2 linked regions of the Cricetulus griseus genome follow. The protein of the gene in region 1 purifies or fractionates together with the protein of each later gene. This does not show direct contact. Links are inferred from orthologs where the notes say so. Each region holds a gene or a part of one and is shown on either strand. Other genes may lie near its edges.

Region 1 (10,219 bases):
ATTGTTAAGGAAAAACAGCAGCAGAAACAACAACAAAACACACCAGCACTATATTGAGAGACCTCTCCGAGTGTAGTGAAAGATTTAACAGAAGGCGGAATTCATTTCACATGAATTCCAAAGAGATGGCACCTGGGCTGTGAAATAACCTTTTGAAAATAGTGACGGTTATCTGAGATGCAGAACAGTCTTCAGAGGTACCTAGCAAATCAGAAGTTTTCAATGAGAATTGCTTAGGTAATGGTTCCTTCAAACAATTGCAGATAAAAGGTTTTGGTATGTGGAAATTGATTTGCTAAAGGTACCTTTTGTGTAACAATAAAGAAGCTGTTTACCCAGCCATGAGGCAGTCTTTCCTGTTGCTACTAAAACCTTCAGCTTGTTAGCTGGAGTGACTCTTCACTGACGTGAATAATACCGACGACAGAGAAAGGTTAAGCTTCAAATACCTAACTCTTTTCCATTCCCCAATAATACCAACAACAGAAAGCATCCTACAACCACCCACTAGTACAGAAACTTACATTTTAAGAACAATAAATCGGGCGTTGGTGGAGCATGCCTTTAATCCCAGCACTGGGGACGCAGAGGCAGACGGATCTCTGTGAGTTCCTGGCCAGCCTGGTCTCCAGAGCGAGTGCCAGGATAGGCTCCAAAGCTACACAGAGAAACCCTGTCTCGAAAAACAAAACAAAACAAAACAACAACAACAACACTAACAACAAAAATAGACACTCAGAAATGTCCTTAGTTGTGAGTGTACCTACAACCTTGTTTACAAAGCCGCAATGAGTTGGAGTTTTTGAAAAGACCACTATGATTTCGACAGTGTTAGTCACAGCCGTTACGTGCAACAACACAGGACACGATGCTACACATTCTTTATTTGGAATTGAGTACCGTGAAAACATTTTTAAAAAGAGGCCAAAACAATAATGTCCTACTGAGCTAGGCACTCTGGCACTGAAAGCGTGAACGACCCAAGGTAACGATGTCGTCACCAAGGGACTACCGTTAGAGCCCAAGTCCCTTGACTCCGGGACTGATGTTTTCCACTAATTGTGCTCCTCTCTCTCTATCTGAGAGCTGCAAGTGCAAAGGGCTGGAGAAGGCAGGAGACTTCTATGAGCCAAATCTGCCAGGTGGGGATGCTCTCAACCCTGAAGGTCCTCGGCAACCGCCCGTGACACTTTCTTTTGTTTTGGCGGAGCAAGATGAAAACTGCAACCACAGACCCCAGGGACCAAGAACTGGAACTAGGTACCGCTTGCTATGGTAACTCTCTCTTCCTCGGCCGGGGCCAGCCGGCCTGCCCTCTCTCACTTCTCCCTTCCGCCAGGCCCCGGCGCATCCCCACTCCCCATCCCTCGGTCCTCCCTTCCTTCCTTCACCCGGTCCGCACTGCACACCCAAGTTCCGTGTCCCCGCTCCCTCCAGTCTTAGCTCGGGTTCGCGGCACTGCACGCGCGCTCCAGCTGAGACTTCGGTCGGAGCCAGGGAAAGCGCGGGTGCCGAGTGGGTCCTGGGGCTCCTCAGGACAAAGCACGACTTAGACAATGAGGACCGTGCCTCCTCCCCGGAGGAGCGCCGCCGGCTCCGCTCCCCTCGGGCGCCTACGGAGCGCGCGCGTGTTTACACTTTCCTACCCCCGGCGGCGGATCCGGGGGGCATTCCAAACCGTTACTCCGCCCGCCGGGGTGGGACCAGCCCAACGGCTGAGCCTGCGCTCTGGGCCGGCCGGCATCGGCGGACTACAAATCCCAGGAGGCCTCGCGCCTCAGGGGCGGGCAGCGGCTGACCTCCCCTCCGCTCTTCCCTCTACTTCCTATTGCCGTTCAACGGCAATAGGTGTCCCTCATACAGCCGAAGGCTGCCTCCTCCGGGGAGCCCTCGTGTCCCCGCTCTTTCTGCCTCAGCTCTGGCTATGCCTGACTCCCTCGTAAGAGTCGGGTGGCGGCGGCAAGGGAAGGAAGCCCCAGCAAGCGACCCGAGAGCACTTCCGTCTCTGGGCTCCGGAAGGTAGAGCGCACGCGCTTGCTGCGACTGCGGAGCGACTCACTTCCGCTCCCACTGTGCCCTGCGAGCCGAATCATGGATCACACTGGTAAGGAGGCGGAGGCAGCGGGGGTCCTGGTTTCGGGCCCCCTTGGCTCGTGTGGGACTGCTCGCCCGGGGGGCATAGGGGCTCCCCTTCCCTCGCGGCGCCGGGCCGTGGCGGGGAGGACGCGAGCTCGCAGGCCCGGTGCGGGCTGGGCCTGCTGCCCCGGCCTACCCTTGGGAGCCGTGCCTCGGTCCCCGAGACCGGCTGCCCCGCCGCGGTGCCGCCGAGCCCGCTCTCCCGACACTGCGCCGCGCAGGCTCGCCGCGAACGGGAGAGGGCCAGTTTGTTTGTTGTTTGTTTGTTTGTTTTCCCCCATCCCATTCCGGTTGCGCTGCCCTTATAGCCGGCTGGACTTCACTTAGGGAATTGTAGAAGCGCCCGGACGCCGGGCGAGAGGGGGTTGGAGACTTCCTGCTGCCTCCCGACTTCGGGGAGCTGCTGCTCTGCTGTGCTCCTCCCTGTGGTGGTTGTCTCTGGGTTTTCACGGACTAGAGGTTAGAGAATCGGATGTAGGTTTCGAAGTGATCAGCGGAGCATCTTTTCTAAACCCAAAGCATGCCCCACCCTTCGGCCGTGGTCCATTTGCATCTTTGGGGGACATATACAAAAAAATAATTAAGATCAAGACATTTCCATCGCGTATTCCAAGTAATAGTGGCTTCAGACTTTGTTTCTGCTAGCTTCGTCTTCTTTCTTAGTTATTGAATGAGTGCATTTGGCTTTGAGTGTTTCAGACATACAGACAAGCAGGAAGAAAAGGCCTTTTCTTTAAGAATTGATGGAGATGCCCTCAGTCTTCAAATAACTACTTAATTATATAATTGCTTGCAGATACTTGTAGGCTTGGAGATAGAATGATGGGCTGGTAAACAATAGGACTGTGTCCTTGCCTTCGAGTATACATACATTCTATCAAAAGCGACAGGGAGGTTGGTTTCTTTTTAAAAAAACCGCTTACAGAGTGTGGTGAGTACTTCAAGAAAACAGGTGCTTACGGAGTAGAAATTTCAGACAGTGCCAGGGAAAAGTGTTTCTGGAATGATAAGACGTGGAGAAAGGCAGATGTCTGCGGTCTAGTTAGCAAGAGGAAGAGCCCAAGTTGAGATGAGAAAGAACACGTTACCTCGTTCAGGAATTTGAGAATCATGGTAAAGGGTTTAATTTTAAGTGGCTACAAAGAAATTGCACAAAACTAGGAGTATAATAATTTTAAAAGTAATCCCAGCTCCTCTATGGAGAATGGTGTAGGAGAGGAAGAACAGGAATCACCAGAGGGAGGCTCACTTTAGTCAAAGTGTAGCTCAGTGATAGAGCACTTACCTAACTAGCACAGGTCCTGAGTTTAATCCCCAGCAATGCTGTCGGGGGGAGGGGGGGGAGTTGGGGCTGTGCACAGACAATGGGCAGTTGCAATAAATATTTTGATCGAGAATCCAACAACCACTAGTGGATTGGTTTGTGTGGAAGTATGTGAGAGAAATGAGAAAAAACTGAGTTTCTCATTAGAGTGTCTTTTAAAAATTCCAGTTTCTAAGTTATTAATTAAAGGTTGCCCCCAGAGAGATACAAATCATTCTAACATGAAAATAATCACTATAAGCTAGCTAGATTTTTTTAAAAGAGTTTCCAGCCAGCTATCCTTTCTGCTTAACATTGGCTTTTCTAGGTTTTAAATTACTTATTAGGCAGTCGCCTTAATGTTTCAGTGTTAATTGCTGTACATTTTGAGGGAAAAAAATCAAACTAAGTGGAATGACTCAAACTTTCACAAGACTCAAATACAAATTTGAAAACTATTTGAATCACAGAGCCTTTGGCAAATCAAGAAAATGCCAGTTAGCTAGTTAATTGACATTTCCTGACTGGATAGGCTTCTCAGAGTAATGATTTTAATGTCAAAGGGTCAAGAGGTCTTGTAAATGGAAGCATTGAAATAGAATTTTGCCAGAAATAAACAATTCCAGAAATCCCTCCCTCCCTCCCTCCCTCTTTTTTTTTTTTTTTTTGAGATAGGCTTTCTCTGTGTAGCCCTGGCTATCCTGGAAGTCACTCTGTAGAGACTGCTGTTTTTTTTAAAGCTACTGTTTGCCTCACAGACTTCAAGTGACAGCATTCGGGGCTGGAGAGATGGCTCAGGAGTTAAGAGCACTGGCTGTACTTCCAGAAGACCTGGGTTCAGGTCCCAGCACCCAGATGGTAGCCTCAAGTTTCAAGGGGATCTGACACCTTCACGCAGACATACATGCAGGCAAAACACAAATGCACATGAAATAAAAATAAAATTATTAGAAAAGAAACATTGGGCTCTTAAAAGGGCTAGGCTGGCTGTTCAAATAATGGAGAGCTCAGTTGTGTGAGGTAGTTGAAAAGTGCAGATAAAGCGTGCTATTTTCATTAACAAAGGTAATACCACTAAGAATCTTTTAATACCCGAAGGGCAACAGCTTCGTTTTCATGCAAGGGAAAAAGATCATCTGTCATATGTCTATAGCTGGTAGGTACTTCTGTATGGATGAGTTAATACAGTGAAGACTGCTGAAATACATGAACAGACATAAAAAGATCATCTGTCATATGTCTATGGCTGGTGGGTACTTCTGTATGGATGAGCTAATGCAGTGAAGACTGCTGAAATACATGAACAGACATTCTATCAATTTTAGTGCAGTCTTGAAGGTTGATCAAAATGTGTTTGTTTTGTTCAAGATTGTATCTATTCATGTAAAATCCCCTTTTCATGAAAAATTTTAAGAGGAGTTTGCTGTTACACTAGAAAGTAGACAGATGTTTAATTATTGAGACCCATTTTGAATTACATTTGGCTTTAATGGATGTAATGTGGACATTTGGGCTTTAAGTCTTGATTGTAATTCTTGCAGGAACTCTGATCAGTAATTTGTGTTTGAAATGTTACAATTTTAAAGTTACATTTGTATTTCCTATTTTTAAGCACTTAAGGTAAAATTGAGTATTTGTTTTGTTTTGTTTTTTGTTTTTTTGAGACAGGGTTTCTCTGTGGCTTTGGAGGCTGTCCTAGAACTAGCTCTTGTAGACCAGGCTGGTCTCGAACTCACAGAGATCCTCCTGCCTCTGCCTCTCGAGTGCTGGAATTAAAGGCATGTGCCACCAACGCCGGGCTGAGTATTTTGTGTTACATATCTTTATGTACTTGGAAACAAGTACATCCATCAGATTGAGTGTTGGATTTCTAATTTTGTTTGTCTTTATGTAAATTTACTAAGTTTACTGGGTGGATACTTTGCAGGCTTAATAATTAGATACATATTTAGAGGCAATTTTGTTTTTTCTCCTTTATATTTAAGAATCTATTACAATATGTATCAGGTTTTTTTCATTTTTATTTTATTTTTTAATAATTTTATGTACATTGATATGAGGGTGTTAGATTCCCTAAAACTGGAGTTATAGGCAGTTATTAGCTGCCAATCCCTGTCCTCTGGAAGAGTGGCTGGTATTTTTAATTGCTGAGCCATCTCTCCAGTTCCTTCTTGTACTTTAAAAATGTTTATGTTTCTGTAAATTACTATGGGAATTTTTAGTGTTCAAAGTTCTAGAAAGAGATAATACTTCTGTAACTTGTCAGCTTCTGAAAGGGTTCCATGTTCAAAGGGTAACCAAAAGCATTGTTTTAAAGGGTAACTCCAAATGAGGAATAGTAGGTCAGTCTGGTATTTAAAATCACAACCAAGATCTTTAATTTATTGTTTGATGTTGATTTTATCTTTATATTTGTAGAACAATTTTCAAAAAGAAAAGTGAAAGAAATTACAATTTCTTCTGTTCCATTCATTATAGACAATGAGTTACAAGGCACTAATAGTTCTGGATCCTTGGGTGGTCTTGATGTTCGAAGAAGAATTCCCATAAAACTCATCTCCAAACAAGCCAACAAAGTTAAACCTGCACCTCGAACTCAAAGGACTATTAGGATGCCTGCAAAGGTCCCACCAGGTGATGAAGGTAACAGTTGTATTGTTTTATCTGAGTGCACCAGTTAATCTACTTGATTTTATTTACTTAAACCTATTTAAAAAATTTTTAACCTATTTTCTAACCGTTTTTTCTCCCTTTGTAAGCCCCCTTATGATCTTTTCAAAGAATCTAATCAATATTGCAGAGAGCATTATATTAAAAGTAAAATTTGTTTTCACAATCCTTTCCAAAGCTAGTATCTGTTAAGATGGTGATGGGTGATGATGGCACACACCTTTAAACCCAGCACTTGGGAGGCAGAGGCAGGTGGATCTCTGAGTTTGAGGTCAGCCTGGTCTACAGAACTAGTTCCAAGGCTACACAGAAACTTTGTCTAGAAAAAAACAAAAACATTAGGGTGGGGTGAAGGGGTTATTTAGCCACTTATGGTGACCCATGCCAGAAATGCCAGTACTTAGAAAGCTGAGGCAGGAGGATTGCTCAGTTGTAGTTTGATGCCAGACCCTGTTGCAAACAAAGGTGTTTTAACTTCTTTCTGCCTATTTGTTTCACTGTAACTTGACTTGAGGGATGGCAAGGTTAGTGGGTGAGGGCAATTGGCACATAACCCTGTTGACTTATGTCAATCCCTAGAACTAATGTAAAAGAGGAAGACGAGAACTGATGTCCAGAAGTTGTTTTTAAAGACCTGATTGTACATTTTAGAATTTATCAGTTCCTGCTCAGTTACTCTTCAGAAAGGGTTTGTTAGTTTACCCTCACACACACCGTTATTTCTTACTATTAAACTTTTTTTTTTTTTTTTTTGAGACAGGGTCTCCATCCTTGACCTTGAGTAGTCTTGCTGCCACAGCCTTCTGAGTGCTGTGATAATAGGCAGGGGCCACTGTGCCCATGACAGAAACTGAAGTGGATGGGTGCCATTTCTTGCCTCAGTTCCATCATCTTACTTTTGATTGGTGCCCATCTCTTAGCTTTTGAGTTCTTTGTGAAAGTGGCAGTGTTAAATGTCTGTGTAGTTCATTTATCTTTTGAATTTAATATGGATAAAACATTACTGTAAAGAATTTGAACATTCTAGGTAGTCTGTTAACTAGAGTTTGCTGTTTCACTTTCCTGTCTTTCCATTTAATTAGAAGTCAGCAAAGTGGCCTACATGTCAGATTTGGTTCCTTTAAAAAAGTAAAGTTCCCATTCATTTGGTTATTGCCCATGGCTGCCTTCCCACTACCATGGCAGAGTGGAATAGATTGATGTGACGTAGAAAGCCTAAAATTTGCACTGTGTGACCATTTATAGCAACAGTTTATCCCATGTTTTAGAGCATTTATGGAGATATATATATATATATATCTCCATATCTTTTTAAAAGTGAGGTCTTGCTTTTTAAATTTTTACTCAAACAGTTCACCAGCTCCCCAAATACTGGGTAATCTGTCTTTTCCTTCCAGAATGGAATCTTGCTGTTAGCACATATTCAAGTTCTAGGAGGACTTGTCTTACTCCTAAGTTTTGTTCTTATGATCTGTTTCTCTTCAGAACCAAACTGCTTTCATTGTGTTTTATAACGTATTCTACTGTAAGCTTCCTCTCATATACTAAGGTAGTAGATTTGAAGTTAAATGTTGTAAATCACAGTAGTGAGTTTGGATGTGCTCAGTGATATAGTACATGCTCAGCATGCACAAAGGCTGGCTGAGAACAGCAGCGTAGGCAGATGCTGCACTATTGTAATCTAGGCTTCCCCACCCATGCTGACCTTTAGTCAATTATTTTTTGACTGCACATAATATACTTTGTATAATCAAAGTGCAAAAAAGCCAAGTTCCCCCTTCTGTACTTCTTCCTGTAGGCAGAATTTTTTGTTGGGACTGCGATTCCCAAATAACCACTGCAAGACTTCTTATTAATTATAAAAGCTAGACCAGTAGCCCAGGTTTATTACTGACCTGCTCTTACTACTTAAATTAAGTCATTTCTTTTGACCTGTGTGTTGTCCTAAGGCTGTGGCTTTTACCTCTCTTGCATGTCCTGCTTCCAGCAACTCCTCTGACTCTACCCTTCTTCCCAGCATTCTCTCTGCCATGAAAAATCCTGCCTAGCCATTGGCTAATCAGCTTTATATTAACAATGAGCACAACACATATTTACCATATGTACGAAGATTGTTCTACAGCATTTTCCTCTAGGCATTTCACCCACATTCCAAAGCCATACAGCCTCTTTTATAGGGGACCTACTATTGCTCTTATAAGAGAGCAAACTGATCTGAAAGATAGTTTTTGAATTTAAAAAATATTTTCTTATTCTAAAATTGATCAAAATGGAGTTTTGGGTGTAAGTATGATAACTGTAAATACCTGCTTAATGATAAGAGAACAGCTTGTGCCACTCCAAAAAGTGGTCATGTGTGCCATGTTTCCCTAGACCACTGACCTCATTAATTTTCTGGGTTTGGCATGCTGATTTTCTTTAGCTTGAATTTTAATGACCACTGTTTTTATGAAGCTTAAATGGGTCATATAAGAGCTTAGGGCACTCGTCACAAGAAAGCCATGGCTTTGAACTATATAGTTTTGTTGGGATTAGTTAAAAAGTATAGTGTAGCCGGGTACATGCCTTTAATCCCAGCACTTGAAAAACAACAAAAACTGGCTTGACTTTCTGTGTGTGTGTGTGTGTGTGTGTGCACACATTAGTAGTTGTGCACAAAGTATGTGCTTTGGCCACTCTGTTTACCAGCTCTAAGGCCAAGGAAACCTTGATTGATACCTTAGATTTATTTATTTATTTATTTATTTATTTATTTATTTATTTATTTATTTATTTATGAGACAGGGTTTCTCTGTGTAGCCATAGTTGGCCTGGAACTTGCTCTGTAGATCAGGGTGGCCTTGAACTCAGAGATGCACCTGCCTCTTCCTCCGAAGTGCTGAGATTAAAGGTGTGTGCCACCATTGCCCAGCGGTATTTTTGTCTTCTTAGCTTTACTTGGGTAATTGGAATCTACCTGGACTTCCCATCAGACTGTTCATGGTTTGTGTTGTTTTGCTTGAGATTAGAGGCTTGCTGTCAACTTTTCAATTAGACTAGAAATATTCCGCCCATTTGATCTTCATAGTGTCCTGTTACATGATATTTATATATGCTGTAAATGACCAGATACTGGTAAGTATTTTGCCTCTTGCAGTCTGGGTTGTTGACTAGGGAGAGGCTTTAGCTAAAAGGATCAAGTGTATTCTTTTCATCTGTTATTTCTGAAACTATTCCCTCTTTGAGGGGCAGTCATAAAAAGCCTGTAGAATTTATTTAATCCTTTGGCAATCAGATCAGTCTCTTGTGGCTTAATACCACTTTTGTAGGTGCTTTAGAATAGATGATGATAGTACTTTAAAATTTGGGCAATAAACTTAATGGCAAGGTTTTATAATAGAGACGTGTGTGGAGTTGATGAGAGCATTGAGTAAGACGCTTATATGGTGGTTTCAATATACACTGCACATCATCCTCTGTAAAGTCCTACAGATGGACTAGATGATCACCAGGCTCAGTTGGCATTGTAAACTAGTTTTGATTTCATGTTCTTAGATCTTTGAAAGTCATCAGAAACATTTTTCGGTAAATAGGTCTATTTTGTCATGTAAATATTACTTTAACAATGAAATTTGAAGTTGCAAAGTGTAATATAACTTTTTTTCTCAGAAGGATTTGATTATAATGAAGAACAACGGTATGACTGTAAAGGAGGCGAACTCTTTGGAAATCAGCGAAGATTTCCAGGACATCTTTTTTGGGATTTTAAGGTATAACTAAAAATAAAAAAATAAGTATTAAGTACTGATATAAATTTTTAGTATGTCTATAACTTAGCACACACATAAGTTCACTTGCTTGTTTCTATATCTTCCAAAATAATTTGAGGTAATTTTTCAATAAACCAAGTAAAATCAACTACCACTATTTAAGGAGAATAAGCAAACGGAGTTATACTAAGCAGCTTTTATTTCTGTTTGTAGTAACAACTGTTATAGAATTCCAACCATTTCACTGTGTGAATTGATAAGTACAATTTTCAGAATTGCTTAAAGAGAAAATTTTAATTATCATTTTAACAGATAAACATCTTAGGTGAAAAGGATGATACTCCAGTTCATTTCTGTGACA
Region 2 (9,617 bases), on another chromosome or scaffold:
TGGTTGCCATGGTGATGGGCTAGGAGAAGGGGCAGGAACCCAACAGAGACAGACTGTGGGGGAAGGGGAAGGCCAGGAAAGAACCCTGGGAAAGGGGAAAGGGAAACAGAGGGGCCCCCTGCATCCATAGTCATCCCAGGAACAAGTGTGACTGTGTGAGCTCTTCATTCCCTGTGCCCACTCCCCATGTGAGAATCTGAGGCCACAGCAGAAAGCCTCAGCTTGGGTGCCCTGGCCACCTCTGGATTACTGTCTTCCTCAGGCACCATCTTGATTTAATTCCTGCTATCACCTCCACCGAAGGGCTCTTCCCTCCCCATACCACGTACCAAACTCCTATTCACTCTCCAATACCCAGCTCAAACAATACCCTCAAAGCTGAGTTCCACCAGCTACAGATGTCTCAGGCATACCTTTCGTTGTCTCACTCTCCCTCACAAGGAAGGTCCCTCTTGGGTTCTCAGCATTGAGCAGTAGCCGCTCTGACTCCCGTCTAGTGATCTTGCCAAAGTACCACCTGGGGTGGGGGGACAAATCTGTGTTGGTTGGCCAGTGTTCACACCTACAATGCTGGCCCTGGGTACTGGGACTCAGAGTGGCTGACTGCTGCCAATCAGGCCCAGGAGGGACACTGTGCTGGCGGTGGCAGTAGCAGCCGACAGTAGCTAAACGACATACTCACTCCTCAGCCTGGATGGAGTCGGAGGGTGCCACATAGTTGCTAGGGATGTAACCGGTCTGTCCCGTGCTCAGCGAGTGTGCCAGCCACCAGTCTCCCTCTCTGAGCAGATGGGAGGGAGCAAAGAATGATGTCATCAGGGAGGTCAGGGTCGGCAACCCTGACCTTCCCAGGTACATGGCCAGGCTCTGCAGCAATGGGAGCTGGGCCAGCCTGTGTCCACAGCAAGCCAGCAGGAGCTGGTCTGGACCTCACACCTCCCTGTCACAATGACCCAGAAGGATGCCACCCAAAACCTCAGCAGAACTGAGCCCTGTCAGCTCAGAGGCACTGTCCAGAAGTGCATAGCGGCCTGCAGGTGCCAAGGGCTGCTTTGGGAGAGAGAGGGGGAGGGAGCTCCCTGTCTGAGGGAGGAGGAAGGGTAAGCAGGGTTTACATGAGATGGATGCCAGATTAGACCTTCAAAGTCTCCCCAAGTCCTGACAGCCCTGACACCCAATGGAGACAAGGTTGGCCCTTCTGGGGCCCAGCAACAGTCCAGGCCCATCCCTTCAAACAAGCAATACTTGCCCCTGTCCCAAATCATAGCTCACTCCTAAAAGTCCTTAACCGAAACTACAAGCCTCCTCCTGCAGCCTACACCATCCATGGGGAAAGTGAAGTCAGAGAGAACTGGGCCATGCCCAAAGTCACACAGCGAGTCATGGGGAATGAGCCAGCAGAGCCCCAGTGCCCAGAGCCCTCTACACTTACTGCCCCAGGAAGAAGGGGAGGAAGGAGGAAGAGGGAGGAGGGAGGAGGAGGACTCCCAGCAGCATTCGGGCTCTGGGCCTGGGCAGGAGGGTGAGGGGAGGAAGTACCTTTGCAGCCATCTGAATGTGAACCAGGTCTGGCTGGAGCAGGGGTCCAGAGACAGAGGAGGGAGGAGCAAGCGAGAGCCCAACCGGAGAGAAGAGGTAGAGATGGGGGTGGTGAGAGGCCGTGGTAGGGGGTCAAGGGAGAGAGCGAGAGCCAGGCAGTGCTGGGGACACTGGGAACAGGGCTGGGGGCAGCCAGAGGCCTCACATCCAAAGCAATCAAAGGAGACAGGGCAAAGGCTGGAGGTTTGAGGGGAGATCTGAGGACAGGACCTGGGAGGTGGAGTCCAGCCCTTCCCACACCCTGAACAGATGGAAGACTGAGGCCAGAGAAGCAAAGGACTCTGTGCAAGGTCACACAGCCAAGCCAGGTCTTGCCCAGGGAAGGTGTCTCCCTGTGGGTACCACGAGGCTCAATGGCTCTCCAGCTCATCTCCATGCAAGGTTGGGGGGTTTGGCAAGGCGGGTGTCACATGAGTCAGCTGGTGTTGTCCTTGGCCCCACCTTGACTCTAAGAAGATGCACAGCAACCCCACCCCGGCCCAGAGATGGGAAGGCCCTGGCCTCACATCACACAGCCCCAGCTTGAACACACAGGGTGAGCACACCTTCACCCAAATTTACAGATGGATAGGTTGAGGCTGGAGCAAGTGGGGCTAGGGAGCTTGAAGGACCTGCTGGAGGCCAGGTGAGCATTAGACCCTGACGCTTCTAGATGGCTGTGTGCAGTGAAGAGGGTATGACTGGAGCCGTGCAGGACAGACACACAGAAAGGCTGCAAGCTCACCCAGCACCCGTGCCCCAAAGCTCTACCCTGCTGTCTGATTTGACCCCCAAGGTTATCCTACAAGGAAGAAGGCAAGACTCCCACCCCCAGCTGATGAAAGTACATTTGAGACAGGAGGAAAACGCAGTCACTCTGGCAAGAGAGACCAGTGTTTTCTTTATAGAGTTGGTGAAATGAGGTGTGGAGAAGAGGGTTTGCCCACGGCTACAGACTCAGGTCCAAAGCTCTCTAAAATCTTTCAATCCAAAGCATCCATCTCCCCGATGGGGAAAGAGAGGCACAGAGAGAGCCATCATTTGCCCAAAGCCACACAGCGTAGCCAATGGCAGAGAGAGGCTGAAATCAAGGGGCCTCTGATGACGACAGCCAAATGCAGCAACCTGTATCCAGAGGCTGAGATCCCCAGAAGCAAAGGGACAGGAGACAGTCTAGGAAAGGGAGAGCACATGTCCAGGTTCCATCCTGGGCTTGCTACTCAGTAGCCATGTGGCCTTGGACAAGGACCTTCACAACTCCGAGCCTCAGTTTCCTCATATGTAAAATAGACCAGCTCCTCCATCATTACTGCTGCCTCCAGTGTCAGAGATAACAAGATGAAGGAGGTATGGGTGAGGATGGCTGGCACAGCACATGGCACCTGCTCGCTTTTGCCTCCCACAGAGGGCAGTTCCACCCTGGATCTTGAGGGATGAATAGGAGTTCACCAGATGGATAGAGGAGAAGGAATATTTCAGGCCGCATGCACAAGGATCAGGAGGCGTGAGCAGCGAGACATATCCAGGGGTGTGGAAAGCTTGCCTCCCTGGCCAGGCCTGTGGGGCTCTCAGTGATGGATTCCTGTATCCGCCAGAACACCCCAAATCAAACTCCCCAAGCCTTACCTGCTCCAAGGAGAGGCCCCCAATGCCCAACACAAACCTCCAACCAGCAGTGCCCCCACCTCGGGATGTGCCTGCCACTCTTACCTGCAGTAGCCCACTGTCTTTCCTTGAATGGGCAGCCCCTCCTCATGGCCATCTTTTGGGGACCCCAGCCTACCTCTATCCACTATTGGCCTGGCCTGGGGCAGCCCACTCCCTACCACACTGCCTCCCCCCCTGGCCTGCAGAATGCATGTAGCTGGCACTCAATGTGGAATCACAAACCAGAAGAGGGAGGTGGTGAGCTAACAGGAAGGTATGGGGAGAAGATGGAGGGGGGACAGGGATGGGGAGGGAGCTGGAGACCACGAGCAGGGCAGTGGGGAAAGCACATGCAGACAGCAGCCCCCAGCCTCAGCGAAGCATCCCCCTCCACCTGGCCTCGGTACACACCTGACATCCACCTTCCTCCTAAGGGCCAGCGAGAGAGAAGCAGAGAGAGGGAGAGGCTGAGGTGCGAAGGCAGGGCCCAGGAAAAGGGAGGACAGCGGTAGGGGTCTAGGGAGGGCCCCCACCCACCAAGGGCAGAAGCGGCCCTGCGGACTCTTCACCGCCCTCTGCCGGCAGCTCTGGGTATAGACAGGCCCACGCCCCCAGTGCATTCTGGCAGTGCCACTCACGTGTTGTTGACAATCTGTAGCCGCTCTCCTTTCTTGAAGGACAGGTCAGTCTCTGTCCTTGACTCATAGTCATAGAGGGCCACAAAGGTGGTCACCCCACCTGCAGAGAGGGATTGGAGATGTCAAGAACCTTGGAGGCAGGGGTGGGTGTGGAGGGGTGGCGAGAGACTGCACACTGAGTCCCTGTGAAGGAGCTAGGGGCCTGTGCCTCCCTGCGGGGCTGCAGATAGGCTAAGTGCTCCCTGTCTGGCATGTCTAGCTGACACAAGCAGAAGCCCCAGAGAACACGCACCCTTGTTCTGTTCAGACCCCAGCACACAGTGGTGACTCTGCCTCTCTGTGTATGTACCTGGAAGCTCTGGGTATCTGGGCCATGCTGCAGGGCCCTTCCCCTCGGTCTCTCCTCACCGGCAGCCCACCCTCCGTTGCCTAAGGCTCCACAATTCTTCTCAAATGAACCAATGGATGTGTGGCTGAGACTGGCAGAAGCAGACAGTCTGTCCAAGGGTCGCCTGTGGTGGGCTGTGGAGCTGGGCACCCAGCCCCTGTCTGCATCCCGTGTGCAAGCAATGACTGCAGGTGCACAACCGCATCTGAGGGTGCAAGGCTGTATGCACGCCTGTGTCTGTGTGTGCTGCATTGCGGGTGCATCTGAGGGTGCAAGGCGTATGCACGCCTGTGTCTGTGTGTGCTGCATTGGGGGTGCATCTGAGGGTGCAAGGCTGTATGCACGCCTGACACCTGTATCTGTGTGTGCTACGTTGGGGTTGCCTAGCCTATTTGTGCCTCCAGGAGCGGAGTGAACACTGTGAGCATTTCCATGGTGTCTCCACTCAGTGTGGGCACATGCCCAGTGTGGGCACATAACATAGGTCTGGTCGTGAGAGGTGCCTGTGTAGGTGTGCAGCTGTGCGTGTGGCTGGGTCTGAGTGTAGGATTTGCACGAGTGGGTGTGTAGCCGTGCACTCATCCGGCAGGAGCTTGAGTCACCCGGCTCAGCCCCTCGGTGTCGGGGCTGCCGCACCTCGCAGAGCCAACAGAGGGCGCAGGGGCGCACTCGGGCCACCGCACAGCGGAATCGGGAACAAAGGCTGGACGGGAGGCAGCAGCTAGGCGGTCCAGGGCAGTCCTTCCCTCTGGACCTCAGGGTCCCCTACAGCCCTCTCCTTCGGACCCCATTATGCTCTGAACCCAGAAGGCCCCAAAGCGGCAGGAACCCCTCTGTCTAGTTTACGAGTCCTTCCCCACTCTCAGGTCCTGGTAAACCAAATACCCAGAGCCCAGAGAGGGTGCACCTCAGCCCAGGGACACCCAGCAAAGCGGAGAGCCGACCTGCCAGAGGCCCGGCCCTCTGCGGGGAGGTGACCGTGTCCGAAGAGTTGAAGCCTCCGAAGAGCTTGGACTCAGCGGCCGTGGTGGCCACGAAGGCGGCGCTGGGCCCTCGGTGGCCGTCGGCGGAGGCGGGCTTGCTAGGTGTCTGCGAAGCCGGGAAGGCTCCCCCGGCCCCGTGCACGTTCTCGGCGGGCTCCAGGCTGCGGCGCCTCTGGCTGGCATCTTTGGGCTTGCTCTTGTTGCTGCCCATGATCCTGGCTGGGGGCGACAGAAGACCACGAGGTAAAGGAGAGCCTCTGAGAGCAGACAAGGCACCCCACCCACTCAGCAGCTAGGGAAAGAGTCAGCCTGGGAGAGCTGGCCTCACCGTTCCTTCACTTGTAAAATGGGCGTGTTGTTGGCACTTTAGGACCCAGCTACACCAGTCCAAAGCCCCGACCACAGCTACCCAAAGTCAGTTTCAGTCCTTTGTGCGCAGGGGCACTGAATCATATCAGGGTTCCAAGCACACAGGAGGGGTAAACTTAAGTTTGAGCAGTTGTTTAACATGGTGGTATGTGTGTGGGGGGGGCGGAGGGCTAAATATGAAGATAGCGGCAGGAGTACGGTATGTGGCTTGAAGAAGGGATGCCCGCCGGGCCTGTTCTCCAGCCACCGGACCTCTGCAAACACTGCTCGCTGACAGCTTCACTGGGAAAATCAGTACCCTTCAGCTCTCAGCTCGAAAGTCACTTTCTGGGTTGGAGAGATGGCTCATCAGGTAAGGGCACCTGCCGCAAACCCTGCTAACCTCAGTTCAATTCCCAGGACCCACATGGTGGAGAGGTGGGAGGAATGGTCCTGCGAGTTGTCCTCTGATTTCTGACCCTCACACATGCCATGGCTCACACACACACCTCCCCATAAGCACACAGAATAAAAAAAAAAATAAAGTCCAATACAAATGTTTCAAGTCTCCTCCTTTAGGAGGGCCCCCCAAATCCTTTCATGAGCCCCCTGACTACTGTACCCCCTTGGTTACAGACAACCCCCTCTTCTTTTAATCACTACAACTGTTCACTGGAGTGCACTGAGTGAGGTACACAGTAGGTGCTTAATGAACAGCCAAAAGAATGATGCGCCGTGAGAGAAATCTGAGTTCAAAGTTGAAGCCCAAAGTTTGGGAGGTCCTGGGACTAGAATACACAGAGGGAACCACGCTGAAGGCTCCAGGGCATCCAATGCCCTGCTATGCTCCTCCACATCCGTGCCCAACCCAGGAAGCTGGGCTGGGGGCTCCTCTCTCTCTCGTCTCCACTCACCTGGTGGGCAGCAGGGCTACCCCAGTGGATCTGGGGAGCAGCCTGGGGACTGGGCAAAAACACCAGCTGTGGCGTCCGGGGTCTTAGCCTAGAGACCCTGCTCCACCTCTCCCACTGGGTGTCCCTAGGCGAGTTGCTCCCCTTCTCTGGGCCTCGACATCCGCATCTGCAGAGCCTCTGTGGGGGTGTGAACATGGAACCCATTAGAGCTTTCACTCGAGGGCCAGCAGAAGCCTCCCCTTGCCAAAATGCCCTTTGGATTTTCCAAAGATCCTGGGAATGAGAGAAAGGGAGCTGGCACGGTGGTCTGGAAGGCTCGGAAGCCAACTCCCCAGTTCTGGTCTCAGCTGTCTAGTCTACACCAGTATGACCCCTATGCCATTTCTTACCCTTATGTAATAGAGCTATGGCAGGGCCAAATGGGACCATAGCAGCAGTCACTTAGCACACTAGGTCACTGGCATGTGTTCTGGATGTGCCAACAGGGGGTGGGTGGGGATGAGTGGGGGTGGAACCACTGGGATGCAGAAGGCCTCAGCATCAAGCCAGGTGTCCTTAAAGAACAGCTGTCCGCAGCACTAAGCCCAGCTCTGTGGCTCCTATGCATGGGGACCTGGGTATAGCAGCCAGCCCTTTACTCTCAGATATGTGGAGATGTACGCTGGGGTGTGGCTAAGGCTGACACCCAGACTCAGAGAATGTGGGGCTAGGCTTGCCCAGGAACCCAAGCAATCACCAGACTCCCAAGGGCCAGGCCAGCAGTGGACAGTAAGGAAACACCTGTTTCCATGGCAACTCATTCTCTCCAGGTCATGAGGGGTCGGCTAACCAATGGGTTTCCCTATGGCCTGGCTTGCTAGAAGCCAGCCCAGTTGGTCCCCTCAACCCCCGGGGAAGTTGTACAGTTCCTGGACATCAGATCCTTGGCTAACGGTTCCAGAAGTACTTTAAGAGACAATACAAAATATAAAAGATTTTAAAATAAAATCTATTTACTATATACAAAGAATTGTCTGAGTGTAAGAGCTTTCTTTGGAGTGAGCATAACAGTGCATAGTAGGCCCCCTGTCATTGGAGGGGATCAAGAATGTCTCTTGGCAGATGTGCCTAAAGAGAGGAGGAGAACCAGCCCCCGGAAGATGCATGCCCCATCTTTTGAGGAGATGGAACATGGGTATAGGTCCTTCACTTGAGACCTTACACTAACCAATGGACACACATACCTCCCAGTATACAGAAAGTAAAGTGGGCAAATCCAAGGAGACCTGGGCCACCGGATGCAAGGCTGGCTGGTGTGGGGGATAGGATCTGTCTGTGGTTAATGCTGGTTATACAGACACCAGGTATCTGAAGAGGCAGCAGGGTTGGGAGCCAGCCCAGGAGTGGGTTGTAGCAAGACAGGTGACACTCAGCACCCTCTGAGTCTAAGACGGGAAATCAAGGGATTGTGGGAAAGGAAAGAGCACCTCACACAAGCTGTTCAAGCCTCTCTGTCCAAGAGCCCATAACTCCAGCACAAGTGAAGCTTGCAATGAGGCTGCCGGTGTAGGTAACTGCCCCTCCTTGTAGGGGTATTTCCAATAAGAACTCAAGTAGGGCCAGAGAGATGGCTCAGCCAGGAAATGCTGCTGTGGAGCCTGACAGCCAGAACTCCAGGCACAGAACCACAGTGAGGAGGGACCCTGGAAAGGGGTCTTCTGACCTCAACATGCTTGCTGTGGCTTGCGTGTGCCCACACTCATACATACACACAATAATAAATAAAGACTAAACTAGCAATCAACCATGGTTAAGGTCCAAGATCGAGGGGCCTTCCAGTATGATCTTTCTCTGTTTCCAGATAAACCTGCCATTTTTTTCTTTTATGTGCATTGATGTTTTGCCTGGATATATGTCTTGTGAGGGTGTCAAGTCCTCTGGAACTGGAGGTACAGATGGGTGTGAGTTGCCATGTGGGTGCTAGGAATTGAACCTTGGTTCTCTGGAAGAGCAGCCATGCTCTTAACTGCTGAACCATCTTTCCAGCCCCCAAACCTGCCATTTTTCTAGCAATCTCCAAACCCCATTCACAGTCAAAGGCTCCTTGTTCCATCTGTGTGGCCCAAGGTTTCACCATCACACTTTAATTCTCCCCAAGACGCACAGAGCCACCCTACAATCTCACCTGGGATGGAAATGGGGCTAGAAAGATGGCTCAGTGGTTATGAACCCAGGTTCAGGTCCCAGCACCCATGACAAGCCTGGCATCGGGCAAACGCCTGAAAGTCCGGGATGGAGGGATCCAATGCCCTCTTCCAGCCACCTAGCACAAAGGCACACACACACACACACACACACACACACACACACACACACACACACACACCACACACAAATAATAAATCTTTTCTTTTTAAAAGGGGGACTGGAGGCTGGAGAGATGGCTCAGAGGTTAATAGCACTGGCTGCTATCGCAGAGGTCCTGAGTTCAATTCCCAGCAACCTCATGGTGGCTCACAGCCATCTGTAATGAGATCTGGGGCTCACAACTATCTATAATGAGATCTGGTGCCATCTTCTGGCCTGCAAGCATACATGCAGATAGAATGCTGTATACATAATAAATCATTTTTTTTGAAAAAGGGGGGGTGGGACTGGGTGTGGTGACGCACACCTGTAATCCCAGCACTCAGGAGGCAGAGACAGGCAGATCTGTCAGTTCAAAGCCAGCCTACTCTGCACAGTGACTTCAAGGCCAACCAGGGCTACATAATAAGACCTTACCTCAGAAAAAGAGTAGGGGCAGGGAAAGAAAGAGAAGACAAGGAGACAAGTCTTAAAAACTCCTTGAGCAACACAATTCCAAAGCCTCCAAAATTTTACTCACAGCTAGAGCTAAGAGACTGGCAGCCCTTCAGAAGCCCCACCAACACCTGTGTGTCCTGTCCTTTTCATATGCGTTTCTCTTTCTGTTAAACCCCATATTTAAATTGCATCTGTGTGTGTGCACACAAGAGGTGTACATGCTTCTGTGTACCTGTGGGGGATGCACTCACCAGCACATGTAGAAAGCCAGATGCTGCCAAGAGGACGGCTTCCTTGGTTGCTTCTTCACCTTATCTTTTCCAGACAGGGTCTCACA

What was found.
Region 2: the proteins of Cbll1 (region 1) and Src purify together in Homo sapiens (affinity purification with western blotting; 3 studies listed by BioGRID and IntAct, with this or other methods). This does not show direct contact. The link is inferred for Cricetulus griseus from reciprocal best matches to the Homo sapiens genes CBLL1 and SRC.

What each region holds. Positions count from the first base shown.
Region 1 is NC_048598.1:169,003,765-169,013,983, reverse strand, and holds the start of Cbll1 (E3 ubiquitin-protein ligase Hakai), read left to right. Parts: upstream 1-4,630; 5' UTR 4,631-4,645; coding exon 4,646-4,688; intron 4,689-5,917; coding exon 5,918-6,082; intron 6,083-9,757; coding exon 9,758-9,858; intron 9,859-10,170; coding exon 10,171-10,219. UniProt on the Homo sapiens protein: E3 ubiquitin-protein ligase that mediates ubiquitination of several tyrosine-phosphorylated Src substrates, including CDH1, CTTN and DOK1. Targets CDH1 for endocytosis and degradation.
Region 2 is NC_048599.1:22,079,259-22,088,875, forward strand, and holds part of Src (proto-oncogene tyrosine-protein kinase Src), read right to left. Parts: intron 6,674-9,617; 5' UTR 6,497-6,673; intron 5,454-6,496; 5' UTR 5,446-5,453; coding exon 5,196-5,445; intron 3,964-5,195; coding exon 3,864-3,963; intron 782-3,863; coding exon 683-781; intron 518-682; coding exon 414-517; intron 1-413. UniProt on the Homo sapiens protein: Non-receptor protein tyrosine kinase which is activated following engagement of many different classes of cellular receptors including immune response receptors, integrins and other adhesion receptors, receptor protein tyrosine kinases, G protein-coupled receptors as well as cytokine receptors.